Linked DNA regions of Astyanax mexicanus. The protein of the gene in region 2 purifies or fractionates together with the protein of the main gene of each other region. This does not show direct contact. Links are inferred from orthologs where the notes say so. Each region holds a gene or a part of one and is shown on either strand. Other genes may lie near its edges.

Region 1 (8,394 bases), on a different chromosome or scaffold from region 2:
ACGACCCTGTTCTGGTGCCCCAGTGATTAGATTTACAAATCACATCAGTATGACTTAAGATGACTCTTGAAGACCTAATGTACTGGACATACTGTCAGCTTTCACTGAGGGGACATCGCCTACAGTAAATATATTTTAACTTTCCTTGAAATGCACGAATAGTACCACGACACTCAGATTCAGATTGAGAGAATGAGGTTTTCCAATCATTTTGATTACCTGCGGTAATATTGATGCCCATGTCAACAAATTCATTACTTTAATTAAAATAAAAAAATGATTTACACAATATTGAAGACACAAGCAAATGCCTTTCTTATTTGACCCTGTTGTCCTATTCTGAACACTGTCCGGGGGTCAAAAGGTAATTTTCCCTCTTTTAGTGTCCTTTAAATTCAAAGAAACCATTGTGGTTTATTCAGTTTTTGAAAAACCATCTATCTATAGCAAATGGTTGTATTGCTGACCCAGTCCAATAGGAAAATAACAATTTATCTAGATGTTCAACTAATATAATGGCTGTTCTTCAAATGAAAATGCATTTTGAATGGTTTACAACATATACTGTATGACCAATTTATAAATCAAAATATCATGTACATATATGACCATTGGTTGAGGGGTAGCATATATTTTTCCATTGGATTTAACCAATGCAGATGAGAACGGATATAATATTCTTTCAATTATTCAGAAATACCCAACCTGATAGTCAAATTTCTGACCCTTTTCAATGGGGGAAAAGTGCCTCCAATTAATGCATCATGGACGATGAACAACATATACTGCACAGTCCAATGGGTTGCCCAAGTATGGCCAGTCATTTTAGGGGTAACAGATCATTGCAATTGGATTTAATCAAAGGAGATGATAAAGGAGATGGCATTCTTCCAGATACGGATATAAGGTATACCTAAACTCTTGGCAATAATTAGTTCTGCATTCAGACATTCACCAACATGTTTAGATAATATAATATCTGTGCATACAATGAAAGCATCTTGAATGGTGCACAACATACACTGAATGACCAATTACGAAATAAAAATATCATGTCCAAATATATGAATGACCTTTTGTGAGGGGAAGCATATAATTTCCATTGGATTTAACCAATGTAGATGAGAACAGACATGATCATTTTTCATTATTCAGAAATACTTTACCACATAGTCAAATTGCTGACCCTGTTCAATGGGAAATATGGGAAAGGTGCCTCCAATTAAAACATCTTTATTTACATCTTTATCCCATTAAAACTCTTCTCGCAAGACCAGCGAGCTGATTGGCTGTTTCTCCTGAAAGGCGGGACTTTCTCCCTGAACCGGCACCGTGATTGGTTTCCCAGCGCTTAGCGGTCGGTCTCTTCATTAACAGTACGACTGAGCTGAGCGAAACTATTTCATTTTTGGGGGGGACAAATCCACCTGTTTCTAATATTGGGTGGGACATCCCCCCCGGTTCCTACGCCAATGCCCTAATGAACTAACTATATATGCACTGGATCCAATCAAAGCATAAAGCAGAAAAGACTGACTAATTAATCATTCCTGACCCCATGCCCAGAGTGGCATTGCTGAATTTATACAAGAACAACATTCATCCACACAATAACACAAGCTTCTCTCTCTCATTCAGTGCCCTTGACAGAAGAACATGCAGACACATGCTGTGCATATAAACTGGATCAGCAATCAGATGAATGATTCATCTCCAAGCTTCAGCAGGCAAGGACACACTTCCAAAGCATTAATTCATCCTTTCAGCTCCACTAACAAAAAAAGACAATCATGAAGAAAACCAAGCAGCCACTTACAGGCAGCACCGAGACGTGCCGACCCAGTGACCCAGCGCAGGACTCACCTCTCCGGCGTAGAGCCGGCTGAGGGCTCGGCAGCCCCCCGCTGATGTGGTAGGAGAAGCGCATGGTTTTGAACTGGCTGGAGAAGGACGCGTGGCTCTCCGCGTAGCCGACAAGGGCGCTCCTCGGCCGGTTCAGCTGCATGCCTGCTCGCCCTCAGCCTGGAGGCGGGACACGGTGGGTTGTAGCGAGCTGGAAGGGGGATTATTATCTCCCAGGCTGCTGCCCAGAGCAAAAATCAAATCCAAGTGCCTTCGAGTGCTGGAAAACTCCATCAAAGAGCAGCTTATTTAATTCTGGGTCATTTAGTAGCTACCTAGTTTAAAAATGATGAGTGGGTTAACGTTAAAAGTAAAGTGAAGCCTGCATAACGGTGCTGTTGTTGGCTTAGGTTTTGTTGTTATTAAAAAAAAAGAGAGTATGTTTGTTATCTATACATTTTAGTAACGTTACCATTGACTTAAATTAGCTATATGTCTTACTCTATCATATTCTTTTTCTTTTTTCACTTCAATAATTTATACCACCTTTCTTTGTTAACAAGCTAGTTAGTTATTTAGCTTAAAGTAAAACGACTACACGCTATACGCTAACTTAATCCTTTGTTTAAAAGTACATACACAACAAAACGTCTCTATTTTATGTTCTATTCCAGGTGCTACGAAACGAAAAAAAAAAAAAACAATAAAAGCTTCTTAAAGTTGCGTTTCTATTGTTTCGTATCTATAGCTAACGTTATTTTCTCTCATCTTTAGGTTAGTTAACTAACTGTGGTACTGTAAAAACGCTATTATAAAGTAGCATTAACCCAAAAAGGAGGAAGAAAAAAAACCAAAACAAGACAATGAGTGGAAAAAGTACTACAGCTATTTAAACAAGCCTATTTAGTTAGCAGATCACTGCCATCTCAGCAGAATTCGAGAAAGTCGTGAAATTACCCAGAATTAAACAGAAACTACAAAAAAACCCGTAATCCATCGTCTTGTCGCGTATCCCAATTAACTGTTCATTCAATATACGCGCTGTATTTGTTCAAAAACGTGTAAAAGTTGAAGTCAGCTTTGGCCATTCCCGTCGCCGTTCAGTCTGTTTCCCTTAGAAAGCCAGAAAGCTCCTCAAAATGTGCTCACTCAGCTTCTTACACACAAAAAAAATCCTCCAACCGCTTCGTTTCTGCGCTCAATTCCTCGGTTTTACCGCTTTAAGCATCCAGAAGCTGAAGAGTCTCCTTAAATAATCCAGCTGCAGCATTTTCCCTCAGTTTACACCGGTTACAGATCCACTGTAGATGAAGTTATACGTGTGAACTGAAGTAAAAACCCTCGACAGTACGGTTGTCAGATGTGTGGAGTCTAAAAGACGATAAACCTAACCCCCCTTCTCCCTCTTTTTCTCTCTGTGCCTTTTCTCCTCCTCCTCTTTTTCTTCCTGGCTCCCTTCTTTTTTCGCTGCTCCTGTGTGAGAGTGAGTGAGTGTGTGTGTGTGTGTGTGAGAGAGAGAGAGAGAGAGAGAGAGAGAGAGAGAGAGCATTACTTGGTCGACATATGAAACCAAGTCTCAGTTCTCAGCTCTCAGCTCAACCCCCCTCTCCTCCTCTTCTTCTTCCTCCTCCTCCTCCTCAAAACACCACCATCTCCACTTTTCCCAAAGTCTGTTTCTCATTTGGGTTTTTTCCCCTGTCTGTCGGGTTTGGGCTTGAAATCTGAGGCGAAGAAAAACGTTAGCAGGATTTGAATTTCTCCCTCTTTCTTTTTCCCTCACTCCCCAAAAACACATATCTGAAAAGCACACGTTTTTATGGGATCTTCTAATTGGGCTTGATGGTTTACATTACATGAATTAAACTTTTAGCCCAACAGGGAGGGCAGGGAGGACAGGGGGGAGGCTGTAAACAGCAGCAGAAAAGGTCATGGACTCCTCCAATCTGACCCAGATTGCTCCAGTAGCTCAAACTGGAAGAATGAACTCAAGAAATAACAAACATTTATGGGAACAGGATATCTGGGGGACTCTGGGAGACATTAAATTAAATTCATGTCGTTTTATGCAACCTTGTAAGCATTCTGCAAATGTATGGGCTGCACTATATACTAGTGCATCACAGAAATTATAATATAATTGAAATAATATTCTGTATTACACACAGTGATCTATTTATATCTAAGTGTTTATTTCTTTTATTGTTGACGATTATGGCTTACAGCCAATGAAAACCCAAAAATCAGCGTCTCAGAAATTTAGAATATTACATAAGACCAATTGCTACTTTTGACAGTGAGGGCAGTGTGCCAAGTCCTGCTGGAAAATAAAATCCACCTCACCATAAAAGTTGTCAGTAGCAGAGGGAAGCATGAAGTGCTGTAAGATTTTCCGGGAAAACAAAACTGCGCTGACTTTAGACTTGATAATAAAACACAGTGGATCAACACCAGCAGATGACATGTCTCTCCAAACCATCACTGATTATCAGTAAATTTTACATTTCATTTGGAAATCAAAAGGACCAAATCTGGAGGAAGAGTGGAGAGACACACAGTCCATCAAGCATAACATTATGACCACCCTTTTGTTATAGTTCTATAAATTGATGATAGTCCTTCTGTTTGTATTAGCCTTTTCTCACTCTGTTCCTCAATGGTCCACAAACCATTAATGTGATACAGGGACCCCTGTATCAAATCCCTGATTTGTAATGCATATCAACATGCTCTTGCCAATAAACATCCCTTACTCAGGCACATGTAGGTCCACTTGCGATAATAAATCATTTTTACATATTTACACATTCATATCAGTTTCCTAGCTCAGGTGTGTTGAAAAACCTTTAGAAGACCCTAGAAAGCACAGGAGTCCCAAAGCACCAGAGGAATCCAAGATGCATTACTAACAAATAAGATATGGAGATCAGAAGTAGCTGGTTTAGGACCTACTGTATGACTGGCCTCACAGAAATGGAGCACCATTACAACATACCAACAAGGCAACACAAACCTCCAGCTTCTTCCATCTCTCCCAGGATGGTGTGGGAGAACGATTAATTGGAATCTGTAGGTTTTCCCGTAAATGTTTATACTGAGCCAAATTCATACAGGTTGAGTAAGCATTATTAACCGCATGCAGTCCATCATTCCTTCTATCATATGAGTTACTAGGTATGAATGTGTATGTGTGTGTGGGGTGAAGAGGTCATAGTGGATGTACAAGGTTTATGACACATGGCTGATATCCCATAAGTAGATTACACCCTGTCTCTGGCCAAACTAAACTCTTCAAAAAGCCATGCAGTAAAATACATGAACCCACTAAACATACAACATCCTGCTCACAGGAACAGACAAGCTCTGTACCATCTTAAAATGGTGAAAAAACCTTTGTCATTTTTTGTAGACAACATGAAAGCAGACAGGTGACAAATTAACATACAGTACCAGTCAAAAATTTGGACACCTTAAAGTTTGTGTTTTATTTCATTATTTTAACATTTCTAAATACTAAAGGCATCCAAACTATGAAAAAAAAAATAATTATTTAGCTTTTAAGTTTTGCACATCTTGGCCTTTTCTCAATCAGCTTTATGAGGTAGAGTCACCTGGAATAGATTTAAGTTAAAAGCTAAAATAATTAACTACTTCAATTTCTTACCTCTTAATGTTAATGTTTGAGAGCATCAATTATAAAGTTGTGAAGAGGTAGAGTTACAGGAATACAATGAATAGCTCTATATGAGTAACGTTTTAATCTATATTATGGCAAGAATTACTCAACTAAGTAATGAAAAAAAATAAATAAATAAATCAACAGTCACAAACACCATCAAAAACATTATGATGAAACTGGCTCTCATTAGGACCACCCCAAAAAGAATAATCAAGAGTTCCCTCTGTTGTACAGGATATGTTTTATCAGAGTTACCAGACTCAGAAACCACAAGTTAACAGCTCCTAAGATAAGAGCACCTAAAGTATTTTGATTTGTTTAACAATATTCAGTTACTACATGATTCCCTTGTGTGCTTCTTCATAGTCTGGATGACGTTTGTAGTAAAATCTGGCCTTGGAGGGGGGCAAAATGTTGTCTTTTTTAAATAATGTCAAAAAACAAAACAAAACACCTCAGAAAAAGAATTCCTAAAATACTTTAAAGGCACTCTTTTTGTTAAAGTGAGGCCACAATGACTCCTGCTTTCTTTCCAGGAAACTGAGGGTCACAATGTCTGTTATGCAAATATAGCCACGGCTGGATTTTTTTGTGGGCTACTTTACCTTATATCACCCTGTGTATCAATGTGGGCAATATGACAATATTTTATTGTACAGTCACAAAAATCATTATGATGAATAATAAACATTTCTCCAAGCATATTGTTGATACTGTCAGTGTTTAATTACTTGTGCATTTCAAAAAATGTAAATATTGAATCATTAAAAAGTTACTTTATTTCAGTTATTCAGTTCAAAATGTAAAACGTATATATTAAATTGATGTATTACACACAGAGTGATCTATTTTAAGCATTTATTTCTTTTATTGTTGATGATTATGGCTTACAACCAATGAAAACCCAAAAATCTGTGTCTCAGAAAAATTAGAATATATCATATAAGACCAATTGGTAGTTTTGGCAGTGTGGGCAGTGTGCCAAGTCCTGCTGGAAAATGAAATCCGCATCTCAATAAAAGTTGTCAGTAACAGAGGGAAGCATGAAGTGCTGTAACTTGATATAAAATAGTGGATCAACACCAGCAGATGACAGTCTCTCCAATCCATCACTGATCATCAGTAAATTTTACATTTTATTTGTAAATCAAGGAAGCAGAGTCTGGAGGAAGAGTGGAGAGACACACAGTCCAAACTGCTTGAGGTCTAGAGTGAAGTTTCCACCAATCAGTGATGGTTTGGAGAGACCTGACATCAGGAAAGGACAATGACAGTATTTGTCCAGAAGGTGGCGGTCTTGCTGAGGGAGTCTATTTAAAAGTCCAGTAGTGGAAAATCCAAACAGCAAACCAGATTTACTCATTATACCAAAATGTGATCTCAAACAAGTAGCAAAAATAGTATTTATTAAAGTTATTAAATGTTACAATAATAACACCACATCTGCATTAAAACATACTTATAAAAAACATACAAAACAGTGAAAACTGTCAAATAAAAGTCTCTACATATGACAAATGTTGTCCAGTGGTCTGAATCAGTCTCCTTCATCTTTTGGTGGTGGAGCACATAAGGATCTCCTGCTCCTCAGGCTGTACCGTGGCTGTGGAGTGAATAAGTATTTAAACCTGATCAGCATCATAATATGTCTAGAAAAGCTGCAGTGCCGAAAAGTATGTGCTGAACATTAGAAATGGATTACTAACTGTAAACACCAACCCACACCTGAAACTCAACCGTGGGAGTAAACAGTAAAGCTGAAAGACATTTAGAAGAAGAATGAGTGCTAAGTGAATTCCCCAAATGCCTGGGAATTAGACCGGAATGTCTGGAATGTGCCGGCTGGCCAAGCTGAAATTCAGGAACCCTAAACCACCACGTATCCACTGTAGCATGGCCAGACCTGCCATATGGGGGACTGGGCTGAGTGTCCAGCAGCACTGAAGTGCTGCCAAATACTGGTTTCTAGTTAAACACAGCACACAGCCAACAATAAAATAAATAAATAAATAAATAAAAATAAAGCACTTAACATTTTTTCCCGACTTTCAAACTCTTTTCCATAAAACATAAACACTGTTAATTTAACTTGCATTGAAAGTTACGCCTTTTTTTGTGGCAGGGGTGGAATAATGTCTCTCAAGATCATTCACATGGAAAGATTTTTTTTGCTCACATGCATGCAGTGTAGGAGGGTAGACCCTAATTTTGTAATACAGCTCTGAAAATAAAAATTAAGAGACCACTGAATCAGTTTCTGAATCGGTTTCTCTGATTTTGTTATTTATAGGTTTATGTTTGAGTGAAATAAACATTGTTGTTTTATTCTATGAACTACAGACAACATTTCTCTCAAATTCCAAATAAAACCGGTCATTTAGAGCATTTATGTGCAGGAAATTAAATGAAATAATAAAGATGCAAAACTTTTAGACCCCAAATAATGCAAAGAAAACAAGTTCATATTCATAAAGTTTTAAGAGTTCAGAAATCAATATTTGGTGGAATAACCCTGGTGGTTTTTAATCACAGTTTTCATGCATCTTGGCATCATGTTCTCCTCCACCAGTCTTACACACTGCTTTTGGATAACTTTATGCTGCTTTACTCCTGGTGCAAACATCAAGCAGTTCAGTTTGGTGGTTTGATGGCTTGTGATCATCCATCTTCCTCTTGATTATATTTCAGAAGTTTTCAATTCAGTAAAATAAAATAAAAAAAATCTCATAATTTTTAAGTGGTCTCTTTTTTTTTTCTTCCCCAGAGCTGTATGCATGTCGCTTAGGGGAAGGTTATTAAGAGGTTCCCAGTTATACTTAACACTGTGTTCAGGTTTTATTTATTTATTTAAAAAAAAATAAAAATAAGATGCATGT
Region 2 (8,382 bases):
CTCTTCCTTCCATGAGCACATCTGTTTCCATGCAGTTTTCCTGTGCTGTCACCCTATTGGCAGCAGATAACCTGTCTAATAAATACTGAGAAATCAATTCCGTGGACAGCTCACAAACTTTGTTTGGCATCAGGGCAAGGATGCAGTTAGAATCGGTAGAATCGTGCCTGTAATGAGAACACTTATCATTTAATACATGATTAGCGCTGCACCACAGTCCAGCTGGCTTATCTTAGAACTGGCTGAAGTCTGTTTTACCTCAAAATCTCTATGATTGTGCTGTGCATTAACTGTAACAGGTATTTACAGGTATTAACTGTACTTGTGAAACAAGATTCAAATGCATGATAATCTGAATAAGAGCTGTAAATTGAAGTTTGTTTGGAAACAAGACACGGAAAAAGCTGTTTGTGGGGTAAAAATGTAGGCTACCTCTATTTTATTTACCTGAATGTATGTGCTGCTTCGTTATCTTTTGCTAGAATATAATAAGTATAGACAACTGGGCAAAAAAAGGTGTCAGAAACGTCCCATCAAGCTGAATATTTTTAGATACTGCCTAAATAAAACTGTAGGTCAGATATTTTGAGTGTTCACTCCACTCATATCTGACCCAGCAGGAGTTTATAGGAAGGATATTTTGATTGCTGAAAATAATGTAATAGCCAAGAAATCTGTATGAATTAGCATGAAAAACACAGTAAATAATTACTGACACTATTTATTATTATGTACAAGCCAGTATTAAATTAATCAGTATTTAAAACAACTGTATCACTAGGTAATACCCAGTATTTCAAATGGATTCTCATATTTTAATATTCATATTTATACATTGATGGCCTAAATCATTAAAAATTAACAGAATTGTGTGTGTGTGTACGAGTTAGCATGAAAAACAGGATAATATAATTTATTACTTGCCTATCACTTAGTATTTACATTTTAATTTTGATGGCCTTAATCACTGTATCAGAGGATAAAGATAAGTTAACTGAGGTAATAAATCGGTTTTCGTACAGTCAGCCACAGAGCTAGCAAGCTAGAGCCAGCAGAGTTATTTTTTTGTAAGAACACAAGATAATATTTCTTATTTCTTATTAACTTAGTACATTGTCAATTATATTTTGATGCCCTAAATCATTTAAATCAACCAGTAAAGTTAAGGTACAGTGGTATGAAAAAGTTTGGGCATCCATGATATTTTTTATGCTTTCCTTTCTAAATCATTGGTTGTGTGGATCAGTGATTTCAGTTAAATATAGTACATAGCTGATGAACACAGTGATATTTGAGAAGTGAAATTAAGTTTACAGGATTTGCAGAAAGTGTTTTATTGATTGAAATACCTTTAGCACTAATTATTGGAACACAACATTTGTTTGGTAACCTCACTGACCCTTGACCTACATAAAGAGTTAAGGTGGCCAATTGCAAGTTTTTCTCCTCCTTGCATCTTCTCTGAAGAATGGCAACAAGAAAAATCTCAGATAAGCAGAGGAGAAAATTGTAAGAATTGTAAATTGTATAGTCAACCCACAGACCAGCTCCAAAGCTCCTACATCATCATCTTGCTGCAGATGTTAACACTGCACAAGGGGAGGCTGTATGGGAGAATAATGCAGAAGAAGCCTTTTCTGAGCACACGCGGCAGAGTTGCTTGAGGTATGCTAAAGCACATTTGGACAAGCCAGCTTCATTTTGGAATAAGGTTCTATGGACTGATGAAACTTATATTGATTTATTTGGAAGGTGGTATGCATGGCAGAAAAAGAACACAGCATTCCAGTACAAACACTACCCACAGTAAAACTTGGTGGTGGTTCCATCATGCTGTGGGGCTGTGTGTTCAGTGCAGGTACTGGGAATCTTGTTAAAGTTCATGTTCGCATGGATTTCAGTCAATATCAGCAGATTCTTGAGGACAATGTTTAAAAATCATTTAAAAAAAGTTATAGTTGCTTTTTTACAGAAGAACAAGTACAACGTTCTGGAATGGCCATCTCAGTCCTCAGACCTAAAAATATAAATCTGTGTTTGTTTAGTTTATTAAAAAATGGTTTGTCCTCTCTCTCTGTGAGTTTTAAATGTGATCTGCATCGGCACATATGCATATGTGCAATATCTGATATTGGCATTGGCCCTGAATTAAAACTATTGCAATACTGCGATATACCGATTTTTTTTCACACCAAACCACCTTATACTGAACGATTGACATGACTCTAGCAAGACTCTCATGATTTAATTCCGACACTGTGCTACAAGCCACATTGCTCGAATCCATTTTTTGCTTAGATCGAAATTTGAATATCTTGACGGTTCACATTCAAAAATGCAAGTGACCTGAATCTGTGTGTAATGTGAATGAATCTGTCTCTGAAACATCTCACATGTGCACATTGATACATGTATAAACGTTGCCTTCTTCACCAACAACAAGAAACGCCATATTTATGCGGTGACTTGTAGCTTTACAAAGTAAAATGGATGCGTTAGCAGCTCATATGTGGAGCATCTTTTGCTGGAGTGGAGAGAAAACAGCTGGTCTGAAGTTCGAGGAGGTGAAAAAAGGCCAGGTGGTTTGCTTTTGCTGTTTTTGCAGCTATAGCTGCACAGCTGCACCAAGAGATGTGTGGGTATGAGAGAGCATGCATAAAAGCAAAAAGACGCATGAATTTCGATTTGACCATTCACATTAATGTCACATGACCATGGATCGGATATGTATCAAATTTTAGGACCACATATGAAAGTGATTCAAATCTAATTTGACAAAAAAGGGATTTGCATGTTCACACATGACGAAATCAGATCCACACAGAGCCACACTGAGAAAAAAAATGGTTCACACTGGCGTAGCCTTTGTTTTCGACAGTGAAATTGCTTGAAAATTGTTTCGGTGTTAGCAAACTGAATTTGTGTAACAGTTAGCTATCTATGTTAGCCAACACTAAAACACGGAAAACAGTATTATATATTAGTTATTTACTTTTCCTTAATTAAAACCATATTTTGGTGGCCAAATTAAATCACTGTATCAGAGATTAAAGGTACGTTAATGGAAACTGAGGTGATAAATCAGTTAAATTAATAGTTAGGAAAATTTTTGTTAGCTAGCTAAAAGAGTTAGCATTAAATACGCCGTTTTTTAATTATATAGGAGTGTGCCTGTGCGCGTGCGCAGCAACCGTCGGTCGTTAGGACGGATCGGAGCCGGTCGGAGGGGGACGATGTTGGTAGAAGCGGTACTGCAGCCAGAATCACCAAAACACCTCCAAACATCTCACTCTCAGGTTCCTCCTCAGCCGGAAAAGCCCGGCCCATTAGCGAGCTGGAGCCGCACAGAAACAGCCTTCTTCTTCAGATAGAGAAAGAGAGGGAGAGGGGGGGAAGAGAGAGAGAGTGAGTGTGTGTTTGTAAGTGAGAGAGAGAGAAAGAGAGAGAGAGAGAGAGTAAGTAAGAGCGTAAGAGCGTGTGTGTTTTCGTTCACTCCAAGCCTGCCTTCTTCTCTCGTCAAGCCCCCCACAACCGACCACCTCCAGGTCCAGCTTTGCCAACTGAGGCTTACCGTGCGTCCACACCGAAAGCGACGCGAGCGACAAAGCAGCCGGAAGTCATTCATTTTCAATGAGAGCGAGCGACACTGGGCGACAGGCAGCGACGCGGCGCGACGCGATGCGAAGCGGGCGGTTTGAGCGACGCGAGAGAGTTGACCAGAACTTAACTTTATGCAAATGAGCAGCGACGCGCGGCGGCGACTACCAATCAGAAACAGATTCTCATATGTCCGGCCTGAAATCGCTGCTCTGATTTTCAGTTCCTACTGAAGATTTATTCCGCCAGCAAAACGGAAAGAACAGAACTGAACTGAGCTGATCTGAGGTAAAATACTCCACTTCACCAGCGGCTACCCCAGTATAGTACTATCCTTACAGAATTACCTTATTTAATAGAAAACTATATATTAAACTGAGGAAATTATTTATAAATTAACAGAACGATTTATGACAACTAAGGGAATATTTTTTAAATTAACAGAACCTTTTATTGAAACAAAGGGAATTATTTATTAAAGTTAACATAATGATTTATTACAACTGAAGAAAGTAATTAATACATTTAACGTAACAATTTGTTCAAACTGAGGTATGGAATTTGAAACGATTTAGGTAAAATTGAGGGAATTATTCATTACATTTTACAGAAAGATTTATTCAAACTGAGGGAATTATTTATTAAATTAAGAGAAAGACTGTTTATTAAATCAAGAGGATGATTTAATATATTTAAGTAAACATATTAATTACAAGAATTTATTTTAGACATTAAGTTAACAATATTTGAAATTATGGACAAATTAAGAGAATGATTTACTACATTAAGGAAAATAATGTATTATATTTAAGTAAACCCATTTATTGTAATATGAAATAATTATGTTAAATAATTGTACTTAAAAATAGTTATAAAAGTTTTTAATGTTTAGGAACTGTGTAGAGAGGCTGAACCCTTGTTTCTGTATGTGCCGTATTTGGAAAACGCCCACCAGCGACAGCTCGTTCTGAGTGAGACACGCCCACAAGCGACTCATCGCCTGTTGGACAGGCGACACAGAGCGATTTTATCGCGTTCGGTGTGAACGTACAGTTAGGAGCTCAACTTGGATCTAACCTATTGTTTTCATCCAGCGGCGGCAGCAGCAGCACGAGCAGCGGCGGCGGCAGTGCTGCGGTTCAGCCCGGAGACAGCTGAGCAGCAGAACCGCGCTTTATCCAACTACATGGATTTCGTTACTACTATTATCCCCCCGTCGTTTTTGGCTTCGTACGAGCAGCGCAGCCGTTAAGCTGCTGGGTATCAGAGCACCCGGGGTGTCTTCATTTAGCTACACGACCTGGAGCGGAGAGACTCGCCCCCTTTCAAACAAACGGAGCGAAAACAAACCTCCAGACCCTTCTTCATTTATCCAGCGCTTACTGCCCCCGTCTCTCCGCTGCCCTGTCTCCGCCGCCTCCGCTTCAGCGATGCAGCTCCGCACCGTTTTGGACGTGAAAGTCGTGGACGTGGAGAAACGGAGGCACCCCTCCAAACACTACGTGAGTGGGCCTGTGATTAGAGCTGGATAGTTCTTAGTTAGCTAGTTAGCTTAGCTAGGTTAGGTAACTATAACGTTAGCTAGGTAACTAGGTAACTAGTTAGCTAACCTACCTGGACCCGTGGTTAAACCCTGCCTCTATCTCCGTTGTTGTTTTTTTTAATCATTATTTTATCTAGCTATAATATTTAATAGCTACAGGACACGGTTTCTGGTCTGAACACACACATACATACACATTGGGTCATACATAATAGTAATATTGGAGACTTTGCTAAGCTAACTAGCTAGTTAGTAGTTAACCTAAGCTAGCAAGCTATGGGTCTTCTGAGGGCTCTTCTGCATGTGACAGAAAAGCTGAGGGAGGGAGAAGAAAAAAAAGGCGATGACGTCATGCACGTTTTTAAAACCGGTTTTAAAACGCAAGTGTGAACGCGACCTAAAAAACACAAAACGTTCATGGCTCAATCTATGCAGCCTAATGAGGTTGAGAGGGGTGGACATTAGAGTAAAAACCACAGTGTTTCTAAACTTGACTTTTAAGATGCAGGATGTTTAGAAACGAATGCAATAAATATCCCTTAATATTCTTAATAAAAAACAAAACAAACAAAAAAAAAAATTATTTATACCAAACAGTGGCTTGACAGAAATATGTTTAAGCTCTTTAGCATATGCAAAGAAAAAAAATGATTTAGAAATGTTTAATTTGGTTTTGGCCAAAAAAATAATTTCATTTCTGTTTCAGTTATTTTTTTGGTGGCTACAGCGTTGTTCCAATGTTCTAAAATGTATAAGTTCTATTGTCTAATAATGAAACATAAACGGAATTTTGGAAAGTCGTCAGAGGTAATGTTATGTTTTTAATATATGGTTGTGAAAGCAACCTTTGGACAATGTTGTAGCAACCTTCTTAGAAAGTAGACAACATTGTGACACAATACTTTAAGACATCATGCAACATAAAGTGTCCAAGTTATGCATTTACTTTTTAATAATTTAGCTCTCATCTTGTAGTAAAACATGTAGGCAATCAATTATTGGAAGGAGGACTGTATTTATATTAACGATATACTCAAAAAACAATGTTGTGATATAATGTCATGCAACATAATTGTAAAATTGCACACAGCTAGGTTAGCCGTACATCTATCTCATCAAACATTCTAGTTGGTTTACTTTTAGTTCAATCCCAGTGTCAGCAAGTGCATATTTGACAGGCAGTTTTGTAGTAAGTGGACATATAGTACCTGGTCAGTAGGCTGTGTAACTGAGTGAAAGACACTGAAAAACACTTGTCTTTTAACAAGGTCTTCCTTGATGCCTGTCCGTCTGGCAGTTAACTGATGAGCTGAATCAGGCAGCGTTGGAGTGAAAGCTAGGAGATGATGTTGTAATAGAACTGTGAGGACCAGAAGTGATGACCCCTGCTGTAGTTGTTGACAACTCTGTCAAAATGTTCATTTCGACCCGTAGTGAGGTGTCCGGACACTTTGATTTTAGCTGATCTGACAAGATCCACGCTGGCTGTTGCCTTACATCCTTTTTTTTAGAATGTGAAACACTAACCTTAAATATTCATTGGTTTACAGCTGAAGTGATGAGACTCCAGTGAGAAGGAATGATCACCACCTGCTATGAAAAGTACGGTTCGGTGAATTTGCTTGAGTTAAATGTTTACACTACATCATTTCCACATATCAGACGAAAACAGAGCTGATGAGTTTGATCTTGCTTTGTTTTAAGTTTGGCAGTAATTGTGTTATCTTATATACACCTCTCCCACATAACATTCATTAAAAAAAAACACCTACCTAAACAAACAGCCCAGACTTTTTAATCATTGACTCCACAAGTCCTTTAAAGTAGATCCTTCGTCAAGTTCTGTAAGCTGAAAGGTGGACATCAATAAACCTTAAGCACCCATGATGACCATGTCATTGGTTTGCTAGTTGTTCTTTGTTTGATTGCTTTAATTAGGTTCAAATCACTGCAACACCTGCCATTTTGGAGATGATATAATCCAGTTGAAAGCTTGTACATTTTTTCAGATTCTTAAGCAGCTTACTGTTCACTTGCTGCCTAATGTTTTATATACTACCCCCTGACAGGTGACACTGTAGCGATAGATTAGTTGTTCACTTTTCCTATCAGTGGCTTTAATGTTATAGTTGAAACTGTATGAAATCTGTTAACTCTAGGAGCACACAAATGCTGGTGTAATTAGGGTTCAAGCACCGAAGGTGCGTAGAACCCTATTGTTTTTGTTAAGATTTTTCTTCTTATTATTATTATTATTCTTTTTCCTCTGAAAAAGCAGTTGTGCAGCCTAAACCGTAAGTCTTAGAGAAATTAAACTTGGTAGGTAGATGTAGGATCAGTGCATCTCAGTGGACAACAAAAATGGCACCAATTGGTCAAGTGGTGGCGCTATAAACAAGGAAATTCATTTTTCACAATTTTCTCAATAACTCAAAAACCATAAGACATACATTTAAAATTCTTTTTTTGCTGGATTCCTTGGGTTAATACCTACAACGTTCCAATTTGGACCATGCACTTCCGTCTATATAGATTTTTTGCTAATTTGCATAATATGCAAAACATACTTTTGCGAACTAGTCCTAGGAATTTTCATAAATCCTGGCATGTTTGGTATCAAAATACTCGTGAGAGCATGGCCTTCAATATTCGTCAAAAAATGTTGAAATTTGTAAACAATATGGCCGCCATATGCAAATTAGTCCTTCCGGATATATGCCCCATTCACTTCAATTGTTAAATTTGGAACACTGTTTCTCAGCAACCGTGCAACCTAGCAAGCTGAAACTTTGCATGCAGAATCATACAGCCTCTAAAGGATGTTCAAAGGGCAACTTAATCAATCAACATGGCTGAACACCATCAGCCTTCAGCAGACATTTTGGAAGGCTGAATGTTGCCCAATCTGGATGACACAGTTATGTTCAGGTGGAGACACTGTAGTGACCTGCAAAGTGCTGAAACATTCCAAAAAATCAAATATATGTCAATCATACTGTACTATTTTGACATCTAAATGTTTGTGCCATATTCAGTACAGTGGCTCTGACAAATTTGTCAATACAACAAAGTGCTTTGTTTATTCATAATTGCTAATTGTTTGAAAATAGCAATATTGATACTAGTCTCTGGATATTTGGCCTATCACCTCCATTTCAGACTTGTTGCACACTGCAGAGTCTCTAGGTTAAGATTCAATAAAAACATTTGTGAAAATTTCACATACAATACTCTCCAGGCAT

The links.
Region 1: the proteins of sh3pxd2aa (region 2) and fgd1 purify together in Homo sapiens (affinity purification with mass spectrometry; 3 studies listed by BioGRID and IntAct, with this or other methods). This does not show direct contact. The link is inferred for Astyanax mexicanus from reciprocal best matches to the Homo sapiens genes SH3PXD2A and FGD1.

The regions. Positions count from the first base shown.
Region 1 is NC_064419.1:4,164,089-4,172,482, reverse strand, and holds the start of fgd1 (FYVE, RhoGEF and PH domain-containing protein 1), read right to left. Parts: upstream 3,371-8,394; 5' UTR 2,006-3,370; coding exon 1,864-2,005; intron 1-1,863. Other genes in the region: uncharacterized protein LOC103030869, read right to left, coding at 7,056-7,121. UniProt on the Homo sapiens protein: Activates CDC42, a member of the Ras-like family of Rho- and Rac proteins, by exchanging bound GDP for free GTP. Plays a role in regulating the actin cytoskeleton and cell shape.
Region 2 is NC_064428.1:25,422,193-25,430,574, reverse strand, and holds the start of sh3pxd2aa (SH3 and PX domain-containing protein 2A), read left to right. Parts: upstream 1-4,656; 5' UTR 4,657-5,027; coding exon 5,028-5,099; intron 5,100-8,382. UniProt on the Homo sapiens protein: Adapter protein involved in invadopodia and podosome formation, extracellular matrix degradation and invasiveness of some cancer cells. Binds matrix metalloproteinases (ADAMs), NADPH oxidases (NOXs) and phosphoinositides.